2 linked regions of the Arabidopsis thaliana genome follow. The protein of the gene in region 1 interacts with the protein of each later gene in a pairwise test. Each region holds a gene or a part of one and is shown in the gene's direction. Other genes may lie near its edges. The genes, in order: KAN2 and ULT1.

Region 1 (16,903 bases):
TTTGATTTATTAAACGGAGTCATTACAAATAGGTAATATGCTCGTTGTCATGATATTTTTTCCCTCTTAATTTAACTAAGTTACTAATGTCATCAATATTTGGAAGAGAATCAATTCAATCGTCCACTAAATTTGTACTTTTGACACACTAATAAAAAAGAAATTCATCGTTTAGAATTTTCATATGTGAGGAATAATATTGATCTTAGAATAATATCTTGTAATCACCAATAAAGTATATATGCATTTTTTTTAAAGGTATACGTGCATATGTTATTACTAAATCATTAATTTGGAATAGAAAACTTACAATCCCATGGTGTTTTTATTTTATGTGTGGATAGTAACCGCAAGGCTTTTACATATTTAGGTACATTTAAGTTCAAAAACTCTAAAAATAGCACTTTGTTGGGTTAATGGAGTTGGACACATTCTCCTGTAAGAAATAACGGTTTTGCTCTCGATTTTCCTCTTCTTCTTTCTTCTTCTTACTTCTTCTTTGCTTCTTTCTCTTCTTAATTTTCCCAGAAATTTTCAGTTTCGTCTTTATTTTTTTTTGTTTTTTATCACACACCCAATAATAATAAAATCTATACCGTAAGGATAGTACAAAAGGAACCCAAACAAAATAATTAAACCCAATAAATCCCAATTAAATTCGTTTTGATGAGTAAAATCTAAACCCTACCGAGAATATAAGGAACCCAAATGCTTCAATCATAGACATATATTGAATCAATTATGAATTTTAATTAAGAATCTAAATTATTTTGAGAACTTTGGATAGGGAGTTACTTGGATAAACTTGATCCAAGGAGTTATTTGAATCCCTTAAAGATGACAACATCTTATCAACAGAGACGGCCTTTTCTTTCTCACCCAAACTCTTATCTCTCGTAACAATTAATTTGGGATTATTTTGGAAATTACACTTAAAAGTTGATCTTAATTTCATAAGAACCCTAATTGCAAAATCAAATTCGAATCCAGATACAAACCAACGACAAATTGCACTATTGATTTCTTTAAAGGAAAATGAAGATCATGGCTTGCTTGGAGTGTTGCATCTTATCTGTAACAATAGTGAAAATGGAGACAAAAGAGAGAGAAAAGGGGTAAAATGGTCATTCAAATGAGAAAAAAGTACCTAATCCTATGAGAATATTGAAAAATGATATGGGAGACAATGACACAAAGTTTTTTGTGACGATCCCATAATTGATCCTAGTAATCACTATTATATATCAAAACATAAACAAAGAACAAAAAAATCGATAACGTGTTGTAAGAAAGAAATTCCTGATGGTAACTCTATATATAACTTATAAGTTATAAGTTATAATAATACATTATGTTTTAACAATTCATGTATAACATTACATATTTGTAATTTTTGACTAACTTGTTTTCTAATTATTTTCTTCCATTTGGTTTTCCAAATCAACAATGATTTCAAAAAATTAATGGTTTGACTTTACATAGAAAACTACCATAATAAAATTACATAATAATTATTAGAAACTAATACATTTTTACTATATATATTTGTTAACTTAATTATTTCAATTTTGTAATTTTTTTGTTTCAAAATTTTATCACTTACGTTTACCTTTATAGCTGCAAATATCATGAGATATCTCTACTAAAATATCTTAAACATCTTTTATTAAAAAAACAAGTTTTTCTACGGCCAAAATCGTATAAAATTCATAGAAAACATATTTTTCTACCGTTTTTCTACGAAAATAATTTATAAAAAATATTTCTTAGGAAATCAATATTGATAGAAATTTCGTAGAAAATCTCCTACTAAAACTTTTCGTAGAAAATCTCGTAAAAATTTTTGTAGAAAAATGAAAGGTATTTTTTCACCATGTTCTTACCAAAAGATTCATAAGAGAATATTTTCTACTATTATCCTACCAAATCTCTCCTACTAATTTTCTACAACTATTTTGGTACCTATGATTTTCCTACGAACTAAATTAAAATTAAAATTAGTTAAATAATTTTAATATGTGAAATTAAATAATTCTTATTTTCGAAAGTAGGAAAATGATATCTGAATTGTTTTTACTAATTGGAAAAAAACCTGTGTAGTGTAGTTTGTTTTATCAGTAGTGAATTGAATATTTGCACTTCAATATTATGTTAAAGTTGTGTAGATTATAATTTTCTTGGGGGGAAAATGATAGCGATGCCTAACTTTTTTTTTCATCTAGGTAATAATTATGTTTTGTTTTTATAAGTTGGTTTTCTTTAAACCTTTTATCACAAGTCCTTTGTGAAAAAATATTGTGAGAAAAGTGTTGATGTGAAACAAAAGTTAAGTTACTAAACAATTATGCGGGAAGAAGAGAGGTATATGTATCATGATGTAGACAGATTAACCTAATCAAAGAATAATGTTTGGGAAAAGATATTCTCATTTACTTAAAATATTATTAAATGGATACCAAAATTCAAAATGCACATTTATAATTGTATAAATAAAATTAAAGAAAAATAATATTCCACCTGAAAAGAGCCACCATTCAATGGGAACAAAATCTTTTGTTGAATGTACTATAAAGGTTGAAATTCAAAGAACATTACCAGAATGTTTTTTTTTTGTGAGGTATGATCACACCAAAGAATGAAATCAATTATTTTATTTTATTTTGTATAAGATAGTATTACCTAACAACCATCTTGATAATTCCTTTATTCGAAGAAAAAATAAAATATATTTACATACATATGTGGCATAGTGGTTGAGGTAGTCTTAAACAGTTAAACTTGTTAAACAAATAGAAGGTTGTATATAGAAGATATCAGAGTTGTATTATTGTTTTATAAGTACCAAAAAATGTTGATAAAAATATTTCTTTAAATGATTCTTAGTAAACACACTCTAAGTTACCTGGTTTATATTTGAAAAGAAAAGAAAAATAGTTTTCGTAACTCTTACCAATCAAACTTTTTATAATTATCTATGATAGTCTACTTTATTTGTTGGTAATCATATTTTCAAATCTACATGGCTAAAATCTTTGTGTATATCAACGTACGTTGTTAGAAAATTCAAAAAACTGATATTTATCATGTGAACTTGCGAAAAAAAGATCAATGTATTGGAAACGTTGAATATAAATTGTTTTTTTCAATATTTAATCTAATTACAGCTAATGAATTGGAATAATTTGATATGAACAGTCGAGAGTTGAAGTTAGAAAATAAAAATAGTGTATGTTTGTTTTATTATTCCATATTCAAATATTTGAAAATATGAAAATTTGAATGGTTCGTAGTGGTAGTGGTACTTATATATCGAAATTTTATTTAAAAGCTATTTGCTTTTTCACAATCCACCAAAATATAAGTATAAAATGAATTAACGAATGTTGTGATTGAAATATCCTAAATATGCTTAAATAGTGAAATGATGGTATATTGACTATTGAATATTTAAAATTATACTTCCCAAACTATAATGGTTTGTTTGATATTGTCAATTGTCATCACCGTAAGTTTTAAAATGTTCGAGCTTCGATGTGAAGCACTTATCACGTCGGGAACTCTTGTCATAGAATTCACTAGAATCATATTTATTCATTAACTTAATTAATTCCTTGAGTTCATTCATACATCAATAACAACCCTTGATCTAAGCACCAAACAAATTTTGATAGAGGGCTCTCACTTGAATGCTCTGTTGATATATAGGACACACCACATCTTGTGACATAACTGTGACAAAGCCCAAGATGTGTGGTGTCCTAGTTATTTGAAAGAAAAAAAAAGAAAAACTAGAAATCAAATAATATGAAAATTATGGTCTTCTAGCATGTAGAGAATATTAAAGTGTGATTTTGGATGTTCGATGTTAGAAACATTCCTGTCTCCATACTGAGTTTCCTGTGTAAATGAAAGGGGTCAAATTGCTTCAGAAAAGGATTGAAGCTCCAAGAAGGTCAAAAGTTGAGCATTGGTGGTTTAACTTATAAACTAAAACCTAATGTGCATACATAATTTGATGTATGGTAAGTTCTATGTGACATAGATTGTGGTTTGTCTTCCATAATTGCAGGACGGCTCTGAAATTTTGGGGGCAAATGTAAAAACAGTTGACGTTATTTCCAATGATTTGGAAAATTTGAAGCTTTTTACTATAGAATTAATTAATTTGGAAGCCTGATTGCAAATAATTTGATGATGTAGATTTTAGAATATTTTGGACGCTCAAAACAAATGTTTCACTAACTTTGCTCAAAACCAACCCTACATAATCTTTTAGAAAGGTGATTCATCTATCGTATTTCTCATAAGTCATAACCTATGTTTTGTTGGTCATGGTGTTTGAGATCACCATTTTAAGTTCGTCTCCAGCTTAATGTTTTGTTAAAGATTTCGACGGGATGGTTACATACTTATTACAGTTGGATTGATATCCAAGGTCTCCTATAAATTTTTTATTGTTTTGTATTCAAATGTAGAAATTATATTTATATGTATGTATAGATTTATTTTCTATATTTTAAAAATTTATCATCATACAAGAGCCACAAGGTTAATAGACTTAAATAATGTGTGCTTTTCTAGACAAGTATCTAGTTATATACATCCTCGAAGCATGTGTGTGTTTTATTAGACCGTAGTTCTAATTGCCGCATTGACTATTCAATAGCCAAATCCGTACCTAACTTACCTATATATTCATGTAATACGACTCTATATACATATTCGCAATTTCACATGCACTACTAAAGTTTATTATTTTTGTAAGAATTTGATTCTCCGTAATGGTTGCTGCTGCCATTAATGTTTCATAATTTTAAAAGTGAGGGAGGTTCTGCCACATTTAATGTTGTGAGATTTCTAAGCTCTCTCTATTTGCTTTCGCCTAACGATTTTGTAAGTAAAACCACATAACAGACTAAATAATTACCACATAACAGACTAAATAATGTTGTGAGATTTCTAAGCTCTCTCTACTTACCACATAACAGACTAAATAATTAGTGCAGCTACAATCTTTTATTTATATATAAGACTCGCGACATTATTTAAAAAATAAATTTGATTCCAATTTTAAAATAAAATCAATACTATTAAACATGGTTTATGTCTCTCTAAAGTTCATTTAAACATGGTTCATAAAATAACATGAACTATCAAACATGCATATATGGTTCGATATTAAAAGTACACCGGTTTTTGGGTTTGTTGGGAACCCTACCCAAAATCAAGAATCTAATAGTAATAGTTTAATAATTTGTCATTAATGTAGAATGCTTATAGTAATATTGCTTTGATTAATCAAAATGAAAATCAGCTATAGAAACATCTTTGTGAATTTCAAGAAAATTAAGATCAAATGTCGTTTTCTTATGGAGATTTCTATTCCCTATGGAGGTATCTTGCCGATCTCTATGCCTAAGTCATCGGCACTACTAACCATTATGTCACGATGATTTAATATATGGGTTAAACTGAACACATCCCTTATTTTAATCTCTAGTAATAAATTTGCAGGTATCCTTCAAATAACTTTTCGACAATATTTTAGAGTCAATCAAATATTGAAGCATTCAAATTTTGTTATTCAATGAACCTCTCTTTTATTCCATGTAGTGAGTGATGTGATTATTGGTTTCTTCATACTTTTTTGTAAATCAATATAGCTAAATTACTATTGTTTAAAATTAGGCATTTGATTGGGTTTGGACTTTTTTCTTTAAATATTTTGATTGTCCTTTTGACAAAGAACAACAATATTGGCTGTAATTAGAAGGTTTCAATCCTTTTTGTATGACATGCTATTAAATTTGGTTTTATGAACATGATACAAATTTCTACTAATTAATTTGAAGTTTCGAATGTAAACTTCATTTGTATATAGTTTGATTGTTTTGCATGCATTTTGTCAAATGTGACACCAAACAAACAATTTTTTTTTTAATCGTCTATATTCTATAAAAGCATTTCCATCAGTGAGATACTCTTTGGATTTCTCAAAAAAAAAATAGTATTTTAATAAATATTAGTTATATAAATAGATTTTACTTATAAAATAAAATTTGATCAATGGAGAATAAACAAGTGTCTTCGTAGGTTTCTCATAGTTTCTCACTTGAGAGACTTTCTTCACTCTATTTTTTACTTTTTATTTATATTTATTTTTATATTAGGTAGTTTTTTAATGAGAAATTAAAATTTCAATTATAACGTGTTGAAGTAAATAATATAAAACACGTGTAATACATAATATTTGTTTCGGTAAATGACCATAATAATAAATCAATTGAATTATTTCATACATTATTAATATTTTAGATTTTCAATTCAGCAGTATTTAGTAATAAATGGATTGGTTCAAACACTGGTTTATACCGTATATATATATATATGAGACTTTGGAATCAGTTATTAATTGTACTCGAGTAATTCACATTGGTCGCTATCGTTCATTGAGATATTCACTGTAGCAGTTGCAGAGTTTATGTTGGACTTGATTTGAACATCACTCTGAGGAAACAGATTATTCAAAAAACATGTGGTAAGGGTTTTTAATCATTAAGGTATAATTCAAGGAAAAAAAACATAGGGAGAAGAGAAAAGTGATAATCATGTGAAAGAGAGTCATACAAGCTAAAATAAGCAAACTTTGTTTTGTTCCTCTTTTTTTCCTTTTTCTCACTCTCACTTTTCATCTTTTTCTTTGTTCCTACTTTTTAATATTTGTGATTTAACCTTTATTAAAATTTTATTCTTCTTTTTGGAATGAATATAGGGTGTATAAAAAGGAGAAATCAACCTTGGGTTTCAGTTAAAAGCAAAGGATAGAGAGCGTGTGGGATGCTAAAGATAAACCATTCCAAAGTTTTCACCTTTCTATTCTTCTTCATGTGATGAATATTTTACTTAATTTATGTTTAGAAAAAGACATTCGAAGGAATTTTCATATGAAAATCACTTTATTACAAAATGAACATTTCGACTTTTCTTAGAACTTCGTAGGTCACTAATTTGCTTAACCTCTTACGGCCATCGCTAAAGAAATGATTAGAACAAAATCAGAAAACCATATAGAAGTGCCTAACCTCAATTTAAGCAATCCACTAATTATGAGACCAATATATTTTTAAAAATTCCATTTATTCAAATTTATTGGTTATAGTGAAGAAACAAAAAAAAGGGAGTGAAAAGATAAAATAAAAGGTGGAATGTAGACTAAGAAAAGAACAATAAAAATGGTTTGAAAACACAAATAAAGGATTTACTTTTCTCCTCCAAAGAAAACAAAAGAGTGCAAAGAAAGAAAGAAAAAAGAAAGCCTTATTTACCATTTACCACTTTTGTTTTTTTATTTTCAATTTCTTTCTCTTTTCTCTTTTCATTTTCTTTATCCCTTTGCTTTTCTTCCCCCTTTCTTAACCTAAGTTCCTCTAGCCCCCCATGTCCACACAAACACCTTCTCTCTCCTCTCTCTCACACACACTCAAGTGTCATTTTCTCACATATACTTCACACAAAAGAAACAACCATTCACTACATACTACCTTGTCATTGATTTTCTCTCTCCCTCTATATCTCTCAAAAATCTTTGCAAAATCTTCTTAACCTCAAACAATATAAACAACATTCTCAACAAAACCCAGAAATCTCTTCCTCAAATCCTCAATACCCTTTTCTATTTTCCTCCCTATACCCTTAATAAAAAAGGATATCTTTCTCTTTTTATCTTCTTTGTCCTAATTCAAGAAAACAAGAACTAGGGTTCATCATCTGTGGAAACCGACTGAAGAATCTCTTCAAGAAGAAGTTAAAGGTCTCTTTCATGGAGCTGTTTCCTGCTCAGCCCGATTTATCCTTACAAATAAGTCCACCAAACAGTAAACCATCATCGACATGGCAGAGAAGAAGATCAACAACAGATCAAGAAGATCATGAAGAACTCGATTTAGGGTTTTGGAGAAGAGCTCTTGATTCAAGAACATCTTCTCTCGTCTCTAATTCCACCTCAAAAACAATCAATCATCCATTCCAAGACCTCTCGCTCTCTAACATCTCTCATCATCAACAACAACAACAACATCATCATCCACAACTTCTCCCTAATTGCAACAGCTCTAACATCTTGACCTCTTTCCAATTTCCGACACAGCAGCAACAACAACACTTACAAGGGTTTCTTGCTCACGACCTTAATACTCACTTAAGACCAATAAGAGGAATACCACTTTACCACAACCCTCCTCCACATCATCATCCTCACCGTCCGCCACCGCCATGTTTCCCTTTCGACCCGTCGTCTCTAATACCCTCTTCCTCCACTTCCTCGCCGGCTCTAACCGGAAACAACAATAGCTTTAATACTAGTAGCGTTAGTAACCCTAATTACCACAATCATCATCACCAGACTCTAAACAGAGCCAGATTCATGCCAAGATTCCCAGCTAAACGAAGCATGAGAGCTCCTAGGATGCGATGGACCACCACTCTTCATGCCCGGTTCGTTCACGCCGTTGAATTACTCGGTGGCCATGAAAGTATGTCCCTTTAACCTTAAAGCTTATCTCTTTTTTCCATTTCTTAATTACCCTTTTTAACTAAACATGTTTTTGTTTTATTCACTTGCTAATTAGGAGCAACACCTAAATCAGTTCTTGAGCTCATGGATGTCAAAGATCTAACCTTGGCTCATGTTAAGTCCCATTTACAGGTAAATTGATTAACAGTATTGTTACAAATTCATCCATATTAAGTACATAATTAGATGGGAAGAAAAAGATAAATGTACATAATAAGTATGTAATTAGTTAATAATAATAATCTTCTTCTCGGGTATCGATGCATTTGACTCGGTGACTTCCTTAAATCAGAGTTCCACTCGAGTCAGAAGAGATCGAATCTTGTTTTCTTCTGAACCTTCCTTTTTTTATTCTTATCTTAATTAAATCCAATTTTGCATACCAATAATGCATTCCTTGGTTGCGTTACAGACAAAAGAAAAATGCATATAAACATTCCATACATATTTTATACAACAAAAAAAAAAAAAAAAAAAAAAACATTTTTCAAAATCCTCTTCTTCGTTTCTTCGTGTTAGATCTGATGGTCCTCATAGATAGACGATAGACAGTCTTCTTTTTGCAAGTCTAAAAAAAAAATTTCGTCTTGGAAGAATAAACTTGTCCTGTTACAAGTAAACCAAAAATTACTCAATATTACTATTACTGACACACATAGAATAGAAAGGTAGAGAGAGAAATAGAGAGATGGGGAAATTACGTAAGTGATTGTGCTAATTATTAGAAAAACAAAAATCTCCTAAGAATATCAATCAAAACATTAGTACTTTTGGTTTCTTATCATCCATTGTTTCTTGGGTTATAAACCAAAATTTAGACTTTGTTTCTGCGTAATCATATGTTTTATATATTTATCATCTATTAAGGATTACCTGATTATAGTTTCTGTAATGTATATGTAGATATTGTATATGCCTATAAGAACACAAAATCTTAGGACAATCTAATTAGGGATTATTTCTTAGTTTAAATGAATATATAGGTAGTAGGATTTTTTTTTAATAATAATAAATATAGACAGAAAGGGAGAGTACAAGAAACACCATCATTTCTCAATGATGAAATGGTTTTGGTCTTACACAGAGTCACAGTGAGAGAGAGAGAGAGAGAGGGTTTATTAACTTAACCATGGTTCCACTTCTCCATATGTTGAATGGGCTAGAATTTAACCATGGTTAGACACATAAATTCATGCATGGGTACATGAAAATCGCAAACTTCATTAATAATGTCAATTAATGCTTCTGTGTCCGAACAGTTTTATATTTTTCTTCTCGTTTTTTTTTTTATCTTCCAATGTGTCTGTGCATATATAATTATATATATAGAATAAAAATGTGTGTGTATATATGTTTCTTATTTTGAAAATTGGTTGGTACTATTCAACTGTGTCGGAAGACAACAGTACAATGGTCTCCTTGCTTTGGTCTCTTCTTCCTTTTCCATATAATTCGATACATGCATCTCTCTAATCTTTATATACGGATTTAGACGAATTATCATTTACTTTGGTCTCTTCTTAATTATATATTGATGCACATTTTTTTTTTATAATATCAGATGTACAGAACAGTGAAGACAACCGACAAAGCAGCAGCTTCGTCAGGTTAGTGTTAGAGAAATAATTCAGATTCTTTATGGGTCAAATTATTGGATATATATGATTTAATAATTAATTGAAATGTGATTCTGATAGAACCCTAATTTGTTTTTTTCTTTCTTCTTAATGTTATTCAGGACAATCTGATGTCTATGAAAATGGATCATCAGGAGATAATAACTCAGACGACTGGATGTTCGATATGAATAGAAAATCGAGAGATAGCGAGGAATTGACGAATCCTCTAGAGAAATCAAATGGTCTATGGACCAATTCTTCCGGGTACGTACATATATGTACGGTCTATCTATACATACTTCCCTAGCTAGATATAGATGATTTTTCCATCGTTACTATATATAACTAACTATATGGAATGTGGAATCTCGCTAAGCATGTGCATGCTTCTATATCTATATTAGCGTAGTTAAGAACTGGGTAATGTTTATGTTTCTGCTTTGTAGTCCTGTTTTGTCTCTTTCTCAGCCACAAACCCAATAGATCCGAGTTGAGACAAAACACATGATGGGTTAATCATCATGTGTTGCTCTCTCTCCACAGTCACAACAACACACACACACACATATATATATATATATATATATAATGATCTTACTTATATATATTATGAATATGTCGAATTAGTGGAAGAAACTTTTCCCCAAATAAAAAGCTAATTTCCAAAGTGATTCATTACATGAAAATCTTAGTAAAATCCTAAAATTTGTATGCATAAATCTAATGTATATATATAAAGTGAGTTTATTTTCCTAACTTAACAATAACAAAACGAAAACAAAAATAGATATACTACTTTAGACTTCAAATTATCTAGAGATATTTAAGTAAATTAAAGCTCTTTTAAAATGGTTAACACATGAACAAATGGGCAAACACATGGACAGGAGGAAAAGATTGATTTCTCAACTTTATACTAAAATAAAGTAATATATATGTCAGACTATAATATTAAATCGTTATCAATTTTGCTTACGTTAAACAAACAGCCATGCCAGTCGACAGAGATAAAAATAACTTTGTTATTACCAAAAGGAAAACACTTTGTTTTCTTTCGTCTTGTAATTTCTTATCTTCCTTTTCACTTTCTTCCTCTTTTTGTTTATTTCTTTGGTTAGTTTATTTTCATTTATTCATTTATGTAAAGCGGATATCATAAATATATCTCATATAACAAACTTTTGTTTGCTTTTGCAGAGAAGCACGTTTGCATGGGAAGTTAATCGATAATGTTGCAGAAATTATGCTACCTTCTGAGGTACGATACATCCCTTTCTACAAATATAACTATATATACGCGAATATGTTTTGTGTGTAGCATATGAACTATTATCAATTTAGTTATGCATTGTCGAAATCATTTCATTGCTAAGTCACCCGAAATCCTAAAAAGGGCTGCCACAAAAAGGGCTTTCATTAAAGTTTGCTTTAGGAATTTTCAAAAGCAAAAGGTATTTTCGCTATTTAGACACTATTCGAAAAAAAAAAAAAAAAACTAATCTCATTGACATTGACCAGGATGAGTTTTTGTTTTGACCTTTGACACGCATATATTGTGACTTGTGAAAGCTTAAGCCGTGAGGTGCGGTTATCTATGTTTGGCTTATAAGCAAATATGGGCAAAAGCAAAACCATGGCAGCTTCCATTGAACAATAAGAAATATAATTATGTATATATATTTGTGTCAATGTCAAACATTAGTCCATAGGACAATAAATAGGGTAAGCTTACATCTAATTAGAACTAATGTCTTAATTATGGATGATACAATATCAACCTTAAACCCTAGTTAAATGTTGAGATCACTCTTACTTAATGTTGCGTGAATTTCTGCACTTAATATTTTATTTATAAATTATTTACATTCACATGCTGATATCATATACAAGTACATATAAAAAAATGCAAACCATTTATACAATAGAAAATTTAGCTAGTTGGTTAATGATTTCTTTTTGGGGTTTAATTTCAACAGAAGGAACTAGATGGAAAGTGCTCAAGTTATGAGAGAATATCATCAGAAGAGATGAGCTCATCAAGCATCTCGGGAACAAGCCCTTTCAAGCCAAATCTTGAGTTTACTCTGGGTCGATCTCACTAAATTTATTGTTGTAGCTAGGTAGTAATTAATTAGTATCAATTAACTTATATTTTGGCTACTGACTAGTTTCGATATTCATATCAATTGAATAAGTTTTTTTTTTTTTTTAGCTTAAAATCTTAATGTCCTATCTTGGTCTTGGAACTTTGACACACACTGTTCTTTTTCCTTCTCTATTGAGAAGAGCTAGTGAAAGAATCAACTATTAGAGGCACAATAAATGTTCAGTACTCTTTGGTTGAACTTTTATTTTACAATCTGATAATAAAGATATATAAATATAGATAAAGATTTGCCAAAAAAAAATATATATAGATAAAGAATAATAATAGAGAAAAAGGAAAGACGTAAAAGAGAAAGAAAAAAAAGTAGAAAGAAAAAAAGAAAAGAGAGAAAAAGGTGTAAAAGAAAGAATGACAAAAGAGGACATGAATGAAAGAAAGCAAACATATTAAAGGAATGGGTAAAGTTGTAAGAAGAATATCTACTTTTTTTATACAAAAAGAAATGTTAATCAGTTTTGTTAAGAAAAGAAATGGACGTGAATGATAGATAATATATGATTAATGATTACCTTTATGATTGGCCTTAAGGTTTTAGAGTAGGTAGAAAGCATATGAACTGTCTATCACCATAAGCTTTTCGAAAAGATAATTAACTTATACAATAAAGCAAACCATATCTCTTTATTCTCGTAAAACAAATCTTGTATATGTTTTTAGGTCCAAAGTATAAATTTTGGGACTTGTTCTTGAAATATACTATATGGACGACGTACCACAAAAGTTCATTGAATATATGATAGGGAAAAAGTAAAAGACATTAAAGAGAAAAATAGAATAATTCTAATGTATAAGGTAGATTCCCACCAAAGAATATTTAGTTCATTGCTTTCACTTAGGTTTTTGATGTTTCCTTAGTCGTCAACACTCTATTCTCAGCATTTTGTCTTCCTCGAGCACACATAATTATATTAAGCATGACGATTGCCATCCATATGCGACAGTGAAAATGACCAACACCTAGCTGAGTAAATAGAGATAAAATAATTGCTAAATTGATATGGTGTTAGATTTGAATTGACGGTAGACGTTTGTTTTCAAAGTTTTCATTATCTAAATAAAGTTTACTATGTGTAATTTTATCATTTCGATACAAATACTAAAATTGGAAATAGAAATTCCATAGTTAAATATTCAAACAAAACTAAAATGATGATGATTTGTGCCTATATATTTTATATTTTGGGCTCCTTATATGTTTTTCACTCACTGATATTCGAAAATATATATGACTAATTTAAGTCTAGGTTAATTGGATAATAATATTATTTTGGTTGATATAAATTTTATTAGAAAATAATATTTACAAAGAGTAAAGAGCGTTTCTGTTATTTTTTAAAAAGAGTAAAAAAGCACTTTTCAACAAAATTAAATGGAAAATTTATGTTTTTCATACAACTAGACCGAAAATGTTTAACATTTGCATCCTGCAATAAAGATATCAGGTTGGTTTGGTTAGGACAACTAAGTCATGTTCAAAAGAATGATCGAATACTGGGTTAATTTGTTTTTAAAAGTTTTGGGCTAATCGAATAGACTGAGAAAATAATAATTGAATCGAACTTCAAACTAGGAGAAATCTGATCGAATGATAGACTAAGTTTAAATTTGATAGATGATCGGAGAACAAGTCATCAAAGAAAGGTTTTGAAAACTTGGCCAAGTGAGGATTGTATCAGAGCTCAATATCACAAATATGATTAATCTACTTACATAGTACTAACCGTTATCACATAATTATTAGACATTTTATTTGCAATTAGATAATCAATGAGCATTGCAATACAACTCCAATTAGTTCAGTACTAAACATCATCATCAATTCTCATTAGTTAGTTTTGTAAAGCTCATGAATGTTTGATTTAACCATTTTCAGTAATATTTTCAAAGCATGAAATGCATAAGGTTTAAAGTTTGAGTGAACAAATCAAAACTACCATTAATCACAACTTAAATAAATGATCTAACAAGAAGCAACATGGTGAGAGGAAAACTTTGGTTAAAAATGACTAAAAACTTGCTTAAAATAGGAAAAACTTTGGACTGGGTTAACCTAACCTATGACAAACCCGATCGAGTTCGTGTCTAAATAAGCTCTCGTGAAGGTGTAGCCGGTACATAAGATCATAGTAATAACTTTAAGTGAGAATTTAAGATAACTCTTACAAATGCTGACCGGAATGACCTAAACCTATCGCCAGTGAAAAAAAAGCAAACACAATTTACAATGTCATAATCAAATTTGAGCTAAACTCCACCGTGCCAAGGCCTCTTGCCGGATCGATGTTTATGACATTTTTTTTTGGGGGGACATTTTAAAATGTGATCGATGTTTAAGAATTCTAATATTATCTATTATATGATATTTTGTGTATATAGAATTGACATGAATATATCTCCGTATCAGTTGGTATTATTATAATTCTTAAATCTAGATGAATTTAATAGAATTCAACAAAATTTAGCTTCTATCTAAATGAATTTGGCGAAAATAAATTTTTGGGACACCATTTACTTCCTTAGTTACTATGTAAGATTTAACTATCATTGGGCAACTAATATGTACTCGACAAATGATCTACGAACTATTCATAAACCAAAATATAGATTGGAAAACTCAAAATCATTCAAATTCTTGAAGAAAATAACTAAGAATTTGACAATTGAAAGTATGGTTGTCTTCACATTGTATGGGTAGTCGCATTTGACAATTGAAACACGGCCTTGTGTCATTGTCATGTCACGTGCAACGTGAAACATCCCAAACATTATATATTTAAAATTATTATTATCGTTTTCAAGTTCCGAAAGCAAAACAGAATATAAAAGGCATGCAAAAGGTAGTAATCATTCACCAATAATTGCAACATACACCCACCCACTCATCAAAACTATTAAATGCTATCACATATACTTATTTTGCAAACAAAACTTATATTTATATAAGCTGCAATAGATTTACATTCTAAAAACTAGCTAATCATATAGTCAACACAAACTTTGATTAGTTTCTTTTACATGTATATAAACGTTCAAAGTTTTTGGTGCTAAGATGATGAATCATCTTATGATAATATGTATGCATATGTTAATGACATAAAGAGAGATGGCACAAATTAGTAGATCCATAAGAATCAGAAGGAGAATTATGGGAAAAAGAGAACAATTGGTCTTATTCTCTCTCCCTAGCTAAAAGTCTTTCATCTGTCCTTTCTCATTGGGCTACCCCAAAATTTATTGACTTTCCTCTTAAATTATTATCACTTTAATCATACAATTTCATAAAATAAAGTGTACTACTAAAGTTTGAAATTATACTTTTTGAGTCAAAAAAGAAAGTTTGCAATTATATTTAGCAACTCAATGACTAGTAACAATGTTGCCTAAAAATCGAAATCATCTCCCTTTGATAGCTAGAGATAACCAAATTTATGTATATTTAAGTAAACTCTTTTTTCCCTTGACATGAAGTAATAGTTACATGAGCTATATATTTTTGTTAAAAAGCTAAAAGAAATAAAACATTTTTCATATATGTAAATTGTAATAGTATAATTATATTTTGAGCTTGCTTCTGTCACTCTCTCTCTTTCTTCTCTGCGTTTGAGGCAAAGACTGAAACACTGGTCGAAATTATTTACTGTCGTACGAACAGAAGAGCACGAAGTCCACAGAATGTCAAAAGCATATATTATTAAACCATCATTACATTATCATTTCAACTTTGGATCTTTCGTACAAACACTCACTCATCCACGTGTCGTAATCATAACGGTTCGATTGTTGGCTCTCTGCTGCTCTGTCAGCCGTCAGATCCGATATTGCCAAATGTTGCAAAGGTGTTATACTGATAAACAAGAAAGTGACCAGTAAAGTTGACGCTCCTTGTTTTCACCCTTCAAGAGACATCTCTTTCTTATTCCTTTCTCTATTTTCTTTTCAATATATAGCCTGTAATTCCAAAAAGTACAAAAACAAGACTATTATGAGTTTGCATTTTGAATTTTTTGAACACTTTCTTCCTACATGTACAGTATCATTATATCTATTGTCAACACATGTATAATCTTATGCTATACAGTAGAAGAAGATAGGAACTATGAAACTAAATGTAAAAACAAACTTTTAACCAAGAAGTGTAAAACAAAACAAAAAAAAGTGAAAATTAAAGAGCAAAGGAAGAGACTATTTTCATGAAGTTTGCAGTGTTTAATTGAGTAGCTCGAGGAACTTTTTGCATGGGAAGAAGCTGTGTTGTGGGTCCTATCAACGTTAATTCAAACGTCAATGTGTGAAAAGATTTCATGAAACTATGGTATATATAATTTTTGCAGAATATTAATAAATTAATTCAGTAATGTCAATCAATTTACTAATATTTGACGTAGAGACATTGTTTCTTTAATTAATGTAATGAACTGATGATAGTTTAGTAGGTGTATAAAATTTCTGTAGAGTTTTTTTTGTATAAAGAAAAAAACAAGAGAAAAAGAAAAGAATAATGCAGAAAAGTGGAGAAGACAAATATAACAAAAATAAATTATTCTC
Region 2 (14,315 bases), on another chromosome or scaffold:
GACGTTGTCTCACTCCTCTGTACAGCTTCGTTGCGATGTAAGGTTGAACAGCTTCTTGGCTCATCATCATCATCATTCTTCCTCTTGGACTCAGATTCAATGTGTCACTCCAGTACTGGGCCATATACTGCTGCTGCTGTTGTTGTTGTTGAGGACTAAAGGAGATCATTTGCTTCTGGCCTTGCATTGTCGGGTCTTGTCGTTGCTCAAGTACCGGAACGTATGATCCGAGTTGTTGTTGCTGATTCTGAAGTGTTGGATCGAGAGAAAAAGGGAAAGCCTCTAACGAATAAGGAGAAGAAGAGGATTGGAAATAGGGTTTAGGACGACTAGGACTCTTCATTTTCTTCATAGATCTTGGGGACGTGGAAGAAGCTTCTCCTCCAAAAGAATGATCAACATTTTTACCTTTCGTAATACAAAGATTTAGCTCCTCGTCAAAGTCCATCTTTGCTTCACTGATGCCTTAAAGACGTGGCAGTTCACGATTTGCCAAAACAGAGAGCAATGGAAGAATTTGAGAGGAGAGAGCTAGGAAAACAGAGAAAATTATGTCTTGTTTTGTTCTTATTTGGTAAGAGAGAGACGACTCTACATGGGTTTATATATGAGGGCAAGAATTAGATATTTATTTTTTTCAACGAAAGATTTTGCTAACCGCTTTTGTAATTTGTATGTCCCATCTATCTATTGACGACTATTCAAAACTATCTTTTTGGGGTTATTCCTTTGCTTTTACTCCAATTCATTGGCCAATAAGAAAGTTAAGAAAATGAGCATTTGAAAAATAGAGAGATATTGACACATAAAAACACAACGCGCAGAGATGAAAACATTAACGTCCGTACGAATACGTGGCATTCTCTGTTTTTTTGGACGGTGAAGGCATTCATTAGTTCATATCCTTCAACTTTATTTAGTTATTTTCCAAGCTTTAATTTTCGTAAGGCGACACCACTTACAAAGTTAAAAGATAAGATTAGACTGTAAAAAACATCTATAATTTAAGAGGTTTATGCAAATTGAATGGAGACAAAAAAAAATGATGTTGGTGTAATGGTCGGCTAGCCGCGGCAAAGGATAATATCCCATAACCATAAGAATGACCATTTTGATGACAACCAAACGTAGTACTAATTATAGTTTCAATCTTCCGGGTCGGTGATTGGTCAAACTCAGCTTTCGCTTTTTTTTAAGATATTTTTGCTTATTATTATTCCCACCTCCCCTCAAAAAGATACTCAACTCACAAGACCGACCAAGTTTGAAAAATTCACAACTAGAGGAATTTCATTTCTCAGACAAAATCATTCTTTTTTGGTAACTAAATCTCAACATATTATCTCACGTGCATATCGACTATGCGTGATGTTATTCTTCATATCTTCTATTTATTGTGAGGAATAAACATAGTCTATAAAGATTTCAGGTGGAAAATCCAAACTAATTGTTGGAATTTACAGTTTTATTTATTTATCAACTTACAGTTTTTATGTAACTTTTTCTAGTGGCAAAAAAGAAGATGGGTGCAGAAGAAAATCTACTAAAATCTCTATAAGAGTATTATTCTTAAGAAAATTCGTGAATATTAAGGCACACATTTATTCTTTTTATTTTATGAGTTAATATTGTTGTGTATAATACTATAATGTGATAATGTTTAGAAACAGTATAGTTTTTTTGGTGTAATTTTAGTTAGGGGTGAGCATAAAAAAGACGAACCAACTTTATTTTGGGCCAATGATCCAATTTATCAAATTTGGACAAAAGTCGAAAGAAGCCTAAAACATGATCCAATTTTAAGAGGTATCTTCAGAAACAATCTAAAACACCATAAATAATTCCTAGTAAGTACATAATATCAGAATATTATATTAGAGGCTAAGAAACTAAATTTGAGATAATTGTAACATAAATATATCTAAATATCATGTAGAAAGTTCTAGAGATTTTTGTGATAATCTTTTATGTAAATCAATATATATCTCTGTATATATCTTCTTCTTTTTTGTTATGAAATTTAGAAAATTGTTAAAAAGAGAAGGATACCAAAATCAAGAGAACGTGCGTTTGTACAAACAGAAAGCCACAAAACATTAGAAAAGAATAAATGTATTGAGCCCATCATCATCAATCTGACCCCAAACTAAATTTATGATATAAAAGTCTTGTGAAGAAAAAGTCAGTACCTATCCTTCCCAAAGAGTCCCAAGTAACAACAATCCAACATTATTGATATGTGCTACTCTTAAACAACAAAGCTAAATAGACTGTTAACCAAGTAATGATCTAAAACACTACATATATCAAAGATAATGAGTAGTAGTGGTGAAGTAGGTGAAGTCATGGTGGTGGACCCTTAGCTGCTTTAGCCAAGAATCTGCTACGCTCAAAAAGCAAAGCAATCTATCATTATCCCATAGCCTCCCTTGCATCTTGTAAGTGGCCATCCCAAATGCACTCACACTTATCCTCTCCTTCTCCTCTTCCCTTTTTACATCTGTTCCAATGCCAAGGGACTTTAGAAATGGGGAATGAATGTACTAATACATTAATACACACTTCCAAGAGGAAAGTGAAAATGCACCTTGGAAAGATGAAGAAAGCGTGTGGTAAGTGAGGAAGCAAGTAGACAAGTCTTTTATGCTTCTATTCATGGGAATGTGATAGATTGGATACCTACACATACAATCAAACATCGTCACCATTTTACTACATTAACCTTAACTTTGTTTTCTGAAACAAGAAAAAGAAGAAAAGGCAGACCAAGCAACAGCCATCCAACTCGCAGGAGACAGATCAACACTCCTCAATGACCTCAACCCTACGTATCTTTCTCCCAACTCTTTGATCTGAAAGTAGACAGAGACTTATGGAATCATAAAACAATGAAAGAAAGTGCTTCTGGAATCAAACTCCAAGAATGGGGAACAAACCTTATCCATGAGAGGGACTCTAGAGTAAGGTGTACATCTCTCGAAATACTGCAAGTAAGAGTAACCGAGGCGATCGAGAGGTTCTTGATGATCAAACCCTTCTTCAGACGAAGAACATCCTTCCCATCTCCACTCCTCGCTACACGACTCGCTCCCTGAATCCCCTGATTCTGTCTCCTCCCTAAATCATCATTCATCGCAGCGACATGTTAGATTGTTGAATATATGCTTGTGTTTATGAAAATGGCAGCATAATGATCATTACCTAAGAGTATTGATAACAGAATGAGAGGTGAAAATCTGGATTGCAGAGAGGTAAGGAACATAGTATTGGACCAATGTTTCGCCCGTTTCCGATACAATGGGGACACCTGCACCGTAAGCACTCCACTCGTCGAAACAATCCCAAAAATCTCCCAACCTGAAATACTCGACGCTCTGGCTCTCCAACGGATACCATAGAGGATTAAGGTTCTTGATCTGTGTCTGCCAAAAAACACACAGTTTCAGATCCTAAATTCAGAGAATTGTTTTAAGAAAAAGAAAAAGGCGTAAACCTTTGGGAGGGAATAGGCAGGCACAATCGGTGTAGTGCAGCGTAAGAATCGGTCTAGGTTAGATTCACTGTCAAAAACCATCATTATCCAACAAAGAACCAAACTTCGACCCAGAAAAAAAAAAAAAAGAGAGAGGAGAGAGTATTGCGGGATTCTCTTTCCCTGACGTTTCAAAGAGCTTAGTTTTCGGACAAAAGTGTTAGCTTTATTAGACGAGCATTTGAGACTTTCACGGCAATGTCAGAAACAGGGAAAGATTGAACGAAAAGGGACAAACTTTTTAAAGAAAACTCCAACGGAACTCTGTTTTGAGCAATGAGAAAAAAAACAAGTAAAATTGTATCTACTTTGAGATAAAAGAAAGTAAGGAAATAGGTTTATATAATCAACCAAACTCCATGAGACCCATTCTTCTAAGGCAGGAGATTATTGGTAGATTCACCTGTCTTTCTCACAACTCTCCACCTTCTCCATTTATTTTCATTTTCATTTAATAAAATATAGTTTCGTTTCTCTAACTTTGTCGGATGAGATTGAGTTTTGTTTGTTTGGGTTTAGTATAAAACGTTATGGCTTCTTAATATCTTCATTTTGCATAGTTCGTGAACAACACAACAAAACAGAGCTATTATTCCTAAGTCTTAGATGATGACATCTCCCAATACAAAGTCTCCTTCTTTTGGATACATCTTGAAAGAAGAGAAACTAGGTCGATCACATATAACAAGATTTCAAGAGAAACTGGGTCAATGACTTTTTTGTTTACATATTATAATTCATATGGTTTAAAAGAATCATTAACATAAAAGGACATGTGTGACAGGATCAGTCGGCAATGTTGTAATCCAAGTTAAACTAAATATCTACTATAGAAGTTTGACACATTCAAATAGTACGACGACATGGGGATAATAAAAGTACGGAAACACTCTTTGACTTTTATGGATTTCTTACAAATTTCTATCAGACAACTGTAGAATATGCCGCTAGTCACGTAAATGTAATTATTAAAACATTATCAAAAGATTGATCGGAGAAGAAAACTCAAGAAATGGTCAAATATGTTTTACCAACTTCGTAAAGAATAAAGAGAAAGTAAAAGAAATCAAACTCTTTCAAAGTGGAAGCCGTCGTCTCTCGCTGACTTCTTCTTCATCGGTTTTTCTGTTACTTGTATGTGAAGCCAAATAAACCTGCAGAATTCACGGTTTGAATATGAGAAGAAAGTAGGATTTTAAATAATAAAAGAAAAGTGAGAGAGAAGACAAAGACCTCGTTGCACAAAAGCCCATCACAACCAAAATTACTAATTAGACATGTGTGGCAAATGTTATGACTGATCATCATGCAATAATTCACCGCCAATACCATAGATGCTACCAGACTTTGTAGGCTCTCTCTCTTTAGTAAATAAAGCACTTTGTTTATGTTCGTTTAATGTACCCATAATTAGCTTTAACTATTTCACTCTACTCTATATATTACACACACTATCTCTTCCATCTTCCCTCCACAAACCACACATTCAAGCTCTTACCTTTTATCCTCAACTAACACAACAATGGCTTATACTCTGCAAAATCTGACAGCCACAATTGTTCTGGTAAGCCTGATTCTTGGATGTACAGAGGAAGTAACCGGAATGCGTTACATTCCCATTTCCCCCACTCCCAGTGAGAGCAAACATTCAGACTTTCCTGTAAACATGGTGCCTCAACCATCTAGTCTCATTCCTGGTTTTGGAAGGTTCTTGCTACCTCCCACACCTAAGCTGCCATTCCTTCCTTACAAAGATCCCCTTGCTGTTGCCCCAGCCACTTCAAATGGAACTCCTAGTAATAAAGCCCGCAGTCCGAGTTCAGGAGAAGATGAAGTTCCACCAGTGCCACAACCATGACCTGTCAACAAATAAGCTTTTGCTAGATGCAGAAGGGTATTCAATTCTGGTTCACATAACAAGTATACTAGTCATTTCATCATAGTCATATATCTTCATGATCTCTCTCTATATATACTTAAGAGGATATTGAATAAATTCCAGAGCTTTTGCTTACATACTATCTAAAAATAATATTTCCAAATAAAATGTAATGACTCACATTGCTGCAAATGTATTGAGTCACAAAAGAGTAGAAATATGTAGAAACTCTTCAATTGAATCATTATTGCCATGATTGAGTCAAAAGAGAAACTCTCTTTACAAAGTCTGAAATTTTGTCAAGATATGTAAAATCTCAAAGTTTCAAAGTAATCTCAGCATTAGCATTTAGCATTAACAAAACCAACGACAACTACGATGTATTAACAAATCAAATTTGGAAACTTCTAAAACAATGCGATGATAATGGACAAAGAGATGTCTTGGAAAAGTCTATTGGAATTGAAGTTTCTGTCTATCCATAGCGAATTGGAAAAAACGATCACCATGACCAAAAACCAAATCGATGAAGGTTCGTTCAAACACCCAATACCTTGAAGATGATATAACAAAGAAAGCAGAAAAATATAAAGAGGAAAAGATAATCAACGAACACGAAGAAGTTCGTGGATCCATGGTTTCGGTTTTTCATCTTCGTCTTCTTCTTGTCCTCTGACTCGTCCTCATCAATGGGTTCAATCTTCGCCATTGTAGTCCCCGTGACCAATACGCCGATCAAGTTTTCGCGGGATTCCGAGATTGCTCTTCTTCTCCGATCGATTCGTCGTTCGTGTTTTTTCCCTCTGAGATACTATTATAACTTGAGCAAGGTAGGCCCATTTTGGGACCATAGGCCCAATAAAGAGAAAAGCCCAAACTACGTACGTAATGTTGACTAGTCAACTAAAAGTGGGAACTTGGGCAATGAAACGATCTTTTTCTACATCTTGTTCCTCTGTTTCACAAGTCTCTTTCCAGTTACAAATGAGCAGCCACGACCATAGAAGGTTTGGAACGGCGGGTCCTTTAGCTGCGGACGAAGAAGGTCAAGGACGTTTTGAGAGCTCGGTGAATGCGGTGCCATTTGGTTTGGTTGCGACCGGAGTTTTGATTGCTATCTTCCTCTTAATTGCTTTTTTTGAGAGGTTCATGTTCGTTAAACCAACTCCATCACCACCTCTCGACCAAAAGTTTCCTCCTTTTGCTTCCCCCAAGGTTCATAACATCTCCTCTCTATTTGCTTTTATATTTTTGCCTACGTTTTTTGTTCTGTTGTTTTTTTACTTAGTCTTTTAACTCAAGTGAACATTCTGATTCACTTGGAATTTGCATCTAAATGAGGTTGTGATCATCAAACATTTGTGATTCATAACTATGCTTGTTTTTGTTGGGTGGTGAGATTAAGATGAAATAAACCTGCCAATGCGTATAAGTTATTAAGTTTAATGAAGTCTATCGGTCAGGATCATGATTTACCAGGGTTTATGCTAGAGGAAGCTCTTTTGTCGTATCTTTGAAAAATGGTGCAAAGTCCAAAACAGGATTACATTAAATGTATTATTTTATGGGGATACAAAACCCCTTGATTCATGCAACGAGGTTTGAATATAAGCAGAGTAGAAAATAAGATATGTTTAGAGGAATTCACTACCTATTTGTCGACACACTAGTTGTCTTTTGTGAGATGATGATGTCATGTATAATCTTGTGTTGTTTATTTGCAGATGGATGTGTGTAAAAGAGAGATATCGGTGTTGATGCCTGGAGAAGATGTCCCAACGTTCATTGCTCAGCCATGTCCTCCCTCATCATCATCAAGCTCTTTCTGAAACCTTCTTTCATCTCATTAAGTAGGACTTTTTATCAGACAAGTGTTTATGTAGTCAAGTGTTGTTAAACAGAACAGTGTTTCTCTGTTTGTGTCTGCTTATCCCATAGCAAAAGAGCAGCAATCTCCATAAAATAAAAAGCCATGGAATTTGTGAGCGTTGTTGCGTAGGCTTGCCTTTTACTTTACGAGTCCACAATAAACAAACCAAAAACGAAGATCCGCATAAGATTTGGTTAATAATTATACATTCCGCAATTTACAAATCAAAAAAAGGGAAAGAAAAAAAACAATCAATCACATCAGAGTTAATAATGATGAAAGGAGAAGAGATCATCAGAGAAAGATGAAGCATTCCATGGACACTTCAGGGTCTCTCACAGCTGTTACATCTTCTTCCTTCTTTACCTCAGCAGTTACTTTCTCCGTTTCTTCTTCCTTCTTCTTCACCTCTGTTGCTCCGTCTTTCTCCGGAGCTCCTACTCGTTTCTTCATGGGGCTTCTTCTTGCAGAACTCGGGGCACGAGTGGCTGGAGACTGTGAGCGACGCCTCGGATTATCCGATAACCCGCTCCGTGGGAGTGGACCCGAATCCACATTTCGCCGGTTGTGAGTAGGGTTTGGTTGACGAGACTGTCTCTCTCGGACTAACCTAGGACGGAGCTGCTTCCCCTGAGGAGAATGTCGTTCTGCCGGAGATCTGAGGACTCTGTCAGGCCTGTTACGGCGAGAGGTGGAAGAAGAAGGAGGAGGAGGACGGTGAGGTTTGCTGAGAGCATCGTCTTCGAGGATGGACGCAGCGGTAGCAGTTGTGGCAGTGGAGTAGCTGTGAGAGACAGAGACGCTGCAAATGTCGGACTTGCTGTGAGAGATCTCCGGAGCTGGAGGTGAGAGAGGAAGAGGAACTTGAGCTTCTGAATCTGAGACTGTTGGTGCGGAAGGAACGAGGTCGGGGACTGGGACAGGGACGGAGATGGGTATGGGGACGGAGACAGAGACTGATTGAACAACGACTTCTTTGACGGATTCTTCTTCGAGGGGTGGAGGAATTTGAGCGGCGGCGACTGGTGGAGCTGTGACTTTTCCGGCGCTGAAGCAGCATCCCATTTTCTTTCTACTTTTGCTAATTCCTCTCTCTCTCTCACTCTGCTCTCTCGAGAGTCGCGAGTCATATACTTGTCAACTTTAATGGGCCTCTTTCTCATGTTGGCCCATATTCACTATGGGCTCGATTATGCTCTTTTGTTTTATCCACTTTGATAAAGAATCTGATATTTGTCTCATTCATTCATATCTTCAAAGACAAAACGCTAGTGTTTGATTTTCTTTAAAATATTCAAAAGAAAATTATGCGGATGGACAAATATCTCGTTAGATAGCGACCCATCATCGTTGGGATAATTTCAACACACAACTGCCGATTGCCTTGGACAGGGACACCGGACATGTAACGACAGTAAGTAAAATGCTTAATACTTATACTACCAACATCTTCCTTTTGGTCGTCAAAAATGTAGTTGAAGATAAGAACTGACCATCATTTTTTAGCTCATCATCCATCCACTATGTTGCATTTACCTCATTGTTGAATAAGAACGCGTTGAGCAAGCTACTTTTTCATCTTTAGTTGGTTTTGTGTTAAATAAAACTTGAAGTGGAAAGAACCTAACATCGTTGCTGCAAACTTGATATTCGAATATTTATAACCACCATCTTAAAAACAAAAACAAAATATGAGAAGTTTAAAAACATGACAAAACTTTGAGTAGAAATCAGAAAGGGGCCAAGGCTCGTAAACTTCTAAACCCCAAGCCCATAATAAATGTTTTGAATCCATAAGTTCACTCCCATCCGCTACTCTTTTTTTCAGTTTCTTGGGAACAACTAGGAGGAAAGAGAGTTTTTAAAGTTCAAAGTAAAGATGTTGTTATACAAAAATTGTGTTGACAACTTATTCATATTCATGTCTCTGTAAAGATGTTGACATAATTATTTCACTTTCTTCAAAAAAAAAAACTGGCGACATTTTCTTTAATTCTCATTTATCCATTATGTACTTTTTGTTTTTGTTTTGCAACCCATCCATTGTGTATGTACTTAAGATAACAACAACAACAAATATACCATATATAAATCATATGGTCTACATACAACACTAGTATCCTCATCCGTATTAAAAAAATGAGTTCCTCGAACACATATAGCTACAAATATAGAGATATGACTTTGGGGTTTGAGCGCATTGCAGAATACCTAACAGGCATAGATGTCAATGACGTCGTCGTCATGTACTTGGTTACTAGTTGTTTTATAGACAACTAGTTGATTAAACCTTTTCTTTTAACAATTAAACAAACCAACCTTTATATATTTCTTCAACTTTTATTTTATATAAAAAAATAGCCAATAGGTGTGGTGGTGAAATGACTCGGTAACCAATGAATCCTGGTGAAAGGGAAGAGCCAAGAATTTGCAGAACCTCAAAGGAAAAAAAAAGGACCTTTGAAAATTACAAAATCAAGAACTTCTTGAAAAGAAGTAAGTACAAGAAATAGAAAAAGGAGTTATGACATTATAAAACCAAAGAGGAACCTGAAACAATTGACACAACCCTATTCCTCAACTTCTTCTCTCTTATGTCTTATCAAAAGCCTCTCACCCACCGCCTCTGTTCCTGCTCCTCTTATCAACCATAGAAATTCTCTCTCTCTTCCCTATATACAATACAATGTTATGTAGGTGATACATACTATAACATAGTTGTATATAAACATTAATATAATGGAGAGGTCCCATGCCCCCACGAGTTTTGTTTTGTTGGCCAGCTAATTCGCATCCTTTTTGTTTTGTTTGTATAAGAGAGTTTCTTTGTTACTTACTATAACCACAAGACCACAAGAAGGCCAAAGAGAGGCTAAACTAAAAGAGCTCTCTTTCTAATTTATTTCTCTCTCTTCTCTTCTCCCGAAAAGCCCTTAATAAGCTTTTGCTTTGATATCAGATCTCTCTTACGGCTTTTGAGATGCGTGCTCCTTTAGGGCTTTCCTTTTATACCCCAAAACGAGGCCTTTCCTTCTTCTCTCATCTCCTAATTCTACCCTCTTCCTCTTCCTCTTCCTTCTCTCTCTCTTCTCATTCTCCTCATACGCTATAAGGAGAAAATCTCAGAGAGAGAGTGATGGCGAACAATGAGGGAGAGATGCAATGTGGGTCCATGTTGTTTAAGCAAGAGGAGCTACAAGAGATGAGTGGGGTCAATGTTGGTGGCGATTACGTTGAGGTCATGTGTGGTTGTACCAGTCACCGATACGGCGATGCTGTTGCTAGACTTAGGGTTTTCCCCACCGGTGACCTTGAAATCACCTGCGAATGCACACCTGGTTGCGATGAAGGTCTCTCTTTTTTTGTCTCTACTGTCTCTTTCTCGTGTCTTTCTGATGCTTTTGGGAAAATGGGTTTTGATTTGTGTGCATGTTACATGTGAATGTGTGTGAGATTAAACGTTTGTCTCTGTCTAGCTACTATCACATTGGGCTGGTAAAGCTAGGGTCTTTAGCATGATTACATATTTATCAATGAGTCTTAGTGTATGCTAGCTAGATCCGTTCTTGTAGAAAATGAAATGACTTGATTTGCCACAGTAATGTTTTAGGCTGTCTGTTTATCTGTAAATGGTAATGCGTCTCTTTGTTACTGGCCAAGTGGTAGCTTTATTGACAAATGATATGTCTCGCTTAGCTGTACGTGTATGTCAAAGTTTGATGCAACCTAGTTCTTGTGGTATCTTGTAGCTAACAATTCCATCTCTAGCTTATTTGGTATAGATGCTCATTTAGAGCTCTCTTTGAAAGTAAAAGTGACTGACTTGAACAGTTTTGATTGTATGATGCTAGACAAGTTGACACCAGCTGCATTCGAGAAGCATTCTGGAAGAGAAACGGCAAGGAAGTGGAAAAACAATGTGTGGGTTATCATTGGGGGCGAAAAGGTTCCATTGTCAAAGACAGTATTGCTCAAGTACTACAATGAATCATCAAAGAAGTGCAGTAGATCAAACAGATCACAAGGTGCCAAAGTTTGCCATAGAGATGAGTTTGTTGGGTGTAACGATTGTGGTAAAGAGAGGAGGTTCAGGCTGAGGAGCAGAGACGAATGCCGCTTGCACCACAATGCAATGGGTGATCCAAACTGGAAATGCTCAGATTTCCCATACGACAAGTAGGTGTCTTTTGTTGTCCTTGTATGTACTTAAGTTTGATGCAAATGATGTATTATATCAATGAATGGTGTGGTGGTCGTAGGATAACATGTGAGGAGGAAGAAGAGAGAGGGAGCAGGAAGGTGTACAGAGGGTGCACACGTTCACCTAGTTGCAAAGGCTGCACTTCCTGCGTCTGTTTTGGCTGCGAGTTATGCCGTTTCTCTGAGTGTACTTGCCAGACTTGTGTCGACTTCACCAGCAATGTCAAAGCTTGAAGAAGGCAGTCCATTAAGAAAAGAAAAAAAAATGTCTGTCTCAGACTTTGTTCGTTGCATTTAATAACTTATTCTAAAACTCCAAACAGTTAATTATCTTATCTATGGGTTGTGAATGGAGCAATTGAAAAAAAAGTAGAAAAAGTTGATTTCCAAGAAGAACATGCAGACGAGCATGCCTGAGTTTAGTGCATGTCTAGATTTTTGGCTAGTGGCAGGGAAAAGTGTTATTAATAGTTTGTTGTTACTCTTTATTTTATTAGCTGTTGACAGCTTTGTGAGACGAAGTTGTCAATGGCACAGCTACTCGGTCTGTGATTTAGCCATTTAGGAGATGGGACATGGAAAGAGACATTTTCTTAATACCCAAAAAGCCCTGACGTCTTGTTTTGAACACAGTAACCATATGGGATCCCTTAAGTGATGTATACTTTTATTATCAACAACAAACATTAGAATCATAAAGACCAAGTCGTCACCAGGTAAAGAGGATACGAGAATAAATTCATCAGAAACATGTGAAACATGTGAAACGTGAAACCAAAGACGTAGAGGCATGTATGAACTTCAACATGTTTTTGTATCAAAAAAGTGTTTTAGAGTATAACTAGACTCATAAAGTAGTACATCGACTCCTGTTCTGTTACAACCAAAATTCATATCTTAAGGATCACATAACTGAAACCTGCATCCACAAATACGAGGCAAACATAGTGTTTCCTTCATCATACATACTAGACTACCTATAAATCAGAGATCAAACTATGAAATCCGCGGATTCATTCAGAGTCTTTCTCGCACGCCAATACACTCCATTGGCTGTCTCTGATGTTCCCAGCTGCAATAAACATCAGAAAGATTGTCAGTTAGCATACTTGACACTAAGTCATAGTATTGGTTTTGGTCAGGGTATTAAGAATCCACTTTACCTTTGTCTCCAATGAGTAGTAATTCTTCCACAGCTCCACGTCTTGACCGTAACTTGCAACAGCAGAATCATACAGCTTCCGGGCATTACTGAGACCATCTTTATCACCTACTGATATGAGGTTGGTCTCTATTTCAATGCAACCTTTGTATAGAACAAGACTGGGACCAGGAAGAGCCAAGAACCTGCAGTTTTACGGTAACAGTGGTGAGAATAAAGTCCATGTGTGACTCAAGGGACTGGAGGAGTAGTGACTCACCTCTTGTATATCTTCCTCGCACTGTGGGCCCCTTTTGTTTCAAGAACAAATTTCACCACTGTGGAAGCAAGAGAAAACACATGGTCGCTCCCATGGCTTTTGGTTGCTGATAGGATGGACATCTCTACAAGTTTGTCCAAATAAGTTCGCTGATGAGCAAAGAAATTAAAAGCCTGCAATACAATAAGCATTTTATTAGTGTAGTCTTAACAAACTAGTGTATTGTCTAGAAAATATATTAGTCACATACCATTAGCCACAAGCTCTCAGATTCTGAGATCGGTACTTTCCTCAAAGCATTTGAAAGGAGCTCAAAGACTGTCTGAAAATCTGCTTTACTAGGAGATGAGTTCTCTGAAAGTGATCTTATTTCAATGGAAACTCTTGAAAGCCACAACTTAGCTGATCCAGCAAATTTTTCAGAGCAGAGCTTTTCTGCTAGCTTCTGAGCTTCATGAGTCTTTTCCAGTTTCAAGTACAGAGAAACATATTCATCAGCAAGCTCTTCAGTCAAACAGCCAGTTTCATCAGCCTTTTGGTACACGTTTATGATATGTGAAATGATCGGATTAGACAAAGAGGAGATTTCATTCTCGTCGCCGTTTGACTGTACAATAGCCTCCATCAGAAAATTTATATAAATCTCAAACATAGAACTTGACGTAACAGTTTGCAAGCCTTCTTCAAAAACCTGCATTCAGGGGACAAGATTTAAGACCTATCAGATATTGTACTTTCTAGTTTCTACTACTAAGCCGAAACAGATTGTGGTAAAGCAAGTTAGTATAGTCCTAAAGAAAAGCCCCCCCATAACCAATGTTCCACCTGTCCTCTCCGACATTATTAAACTAGGCAATTTGACTTCAGGTTCAAACCAAAAAGAGTGAGCGTAAAATCAAGACTAAAGATTTGATCTATGTTAAGGAAATGCAGCACAACTATGGCCGCCACATTCTTTAACAGATTTCAGCATTTAATAAATTTCTAACCCCTAGTCATAAGTTAAGATTTGTTTACCTGAATAGCCTTTTGCATTTGAGGATTTGCAAACTCTAGGCCTGCCTCATTGCTAATACAACCACTCATTTCATGTCTTGCAAGCCAATTCCAGTATTCAGGTTCATTGCAAAAATCACGCTTCAGGTCACTTAGAATGGTATTGCGCATTTCATCTGAATGCGCTAAGTCTGTTGCCTCTAGAATCTCCAAAAAACGCTTCCTCAAGTCAAAACTAGATGGAATAGCCTCAACGGCTCCACTATAGATGGTCTGAAGAACATTGGACCCTTTCTCTTTTAAGAAATCAACTTTCTCAGTCACATCCTCAACATCTTCGACAATAGAGTCCTCGTCATTCTCTTCTTTTTCATTTCCTTCTTTCTCATCTAGCGACATAAATAACTCTTTGTTCTC

Evidence for each region.
Region 2: the proteins of KAN2 (region 1) and ULT1 interact in a two-hybrid assay, tested with the Arabidopsis thaliana proteins (one study listed by BioGRID).

What each region holds. Positions count from the first base shown.
Region 1 is NC_003070.9:11,621,272-11,638,174, reverse strand, and holds KAN2 (Homeodomain-like superfamily protein), read left to right. Parts: upstream 1-7,429; 5' UTR 7,430-7,819; coding exon 7,820-8,531; intron 8,532-8,601; exon of another isoform or gene 8,602-8,627; coding exon 8,628-8,704; intron 8,705-10,133; coding exon 10,134-10,179; intron 10,180-10,310; coding exon 10,311-10,455; intron 10,456-11,388; coding exon 11,389-11,449; coding exon of another isoform or gene 11,450-11,509; exon of another isoform or gene 11,510-12,167; coding exon 12,168-12,293; 3' UTR 12,294-12,559; downstream 12,560-16,903. UniProt on the Arabidopsis thaliana protein: Probable transcription factor that regulates lateral organ polarity. Promotes abaxial cell fate during lateral organd formation. Functions with KAN1 in the specification of polarity of the ovule outer integument.
Region 2 is NC_003075.7:13,975,336-13,989,650, forward strand, and holds ULT1 (Developmental regulator, ULTRAPETALA), read left to right. Parts: upstream 1-9,687; 5' UTR 9,688-10,417; coding exon 10,418-10,704; intron 10,705-11,112; coding exon 11,113-11,457; intron 11,458-11,540; coding exon 11,541-11,715; 3' UTR 11,716-12,107; downstream 12,108-14,315. Other genes in the region: AT4G28140 (Integrase-type DNA-binding superfamily protein), read right to left, coding at 1-448; AT4G28150 (hypothetical protein (DUF789)), read right to left, coding at 2,307-2,500, 2,588-2,679, 2,767-2,852, 2,937-3,117, 3,202-3,422, 3,494-3,577; AT4G28160 (hydroxyproline-rich glycoprotein family protein), read left to right, coding at 5,055-5,390; AT4G28170 (uncharacterized protein), read left to right, coding at 6,300-6,626, 7,136-7,240; AT4G28180 (uncharacterized protein), read right to left, coding at 7,576-8,346; AT4G28200 (U3 small nucleolar RNA-associated-like protein), read right to left, coding at 12,473-12,553, 12,645-12,828, 12,903-13,075, 13,153-13,593, 13,920-14,315. UniProt on the Arabidopsis thaliana protein: Putative transcription factor that acts as a key negative regulator of cell accumulation in shoot and floral meristems. Negatively regulates the size of the WUSCHEL (WUS)-expressing organizing center in inflorescence meristems.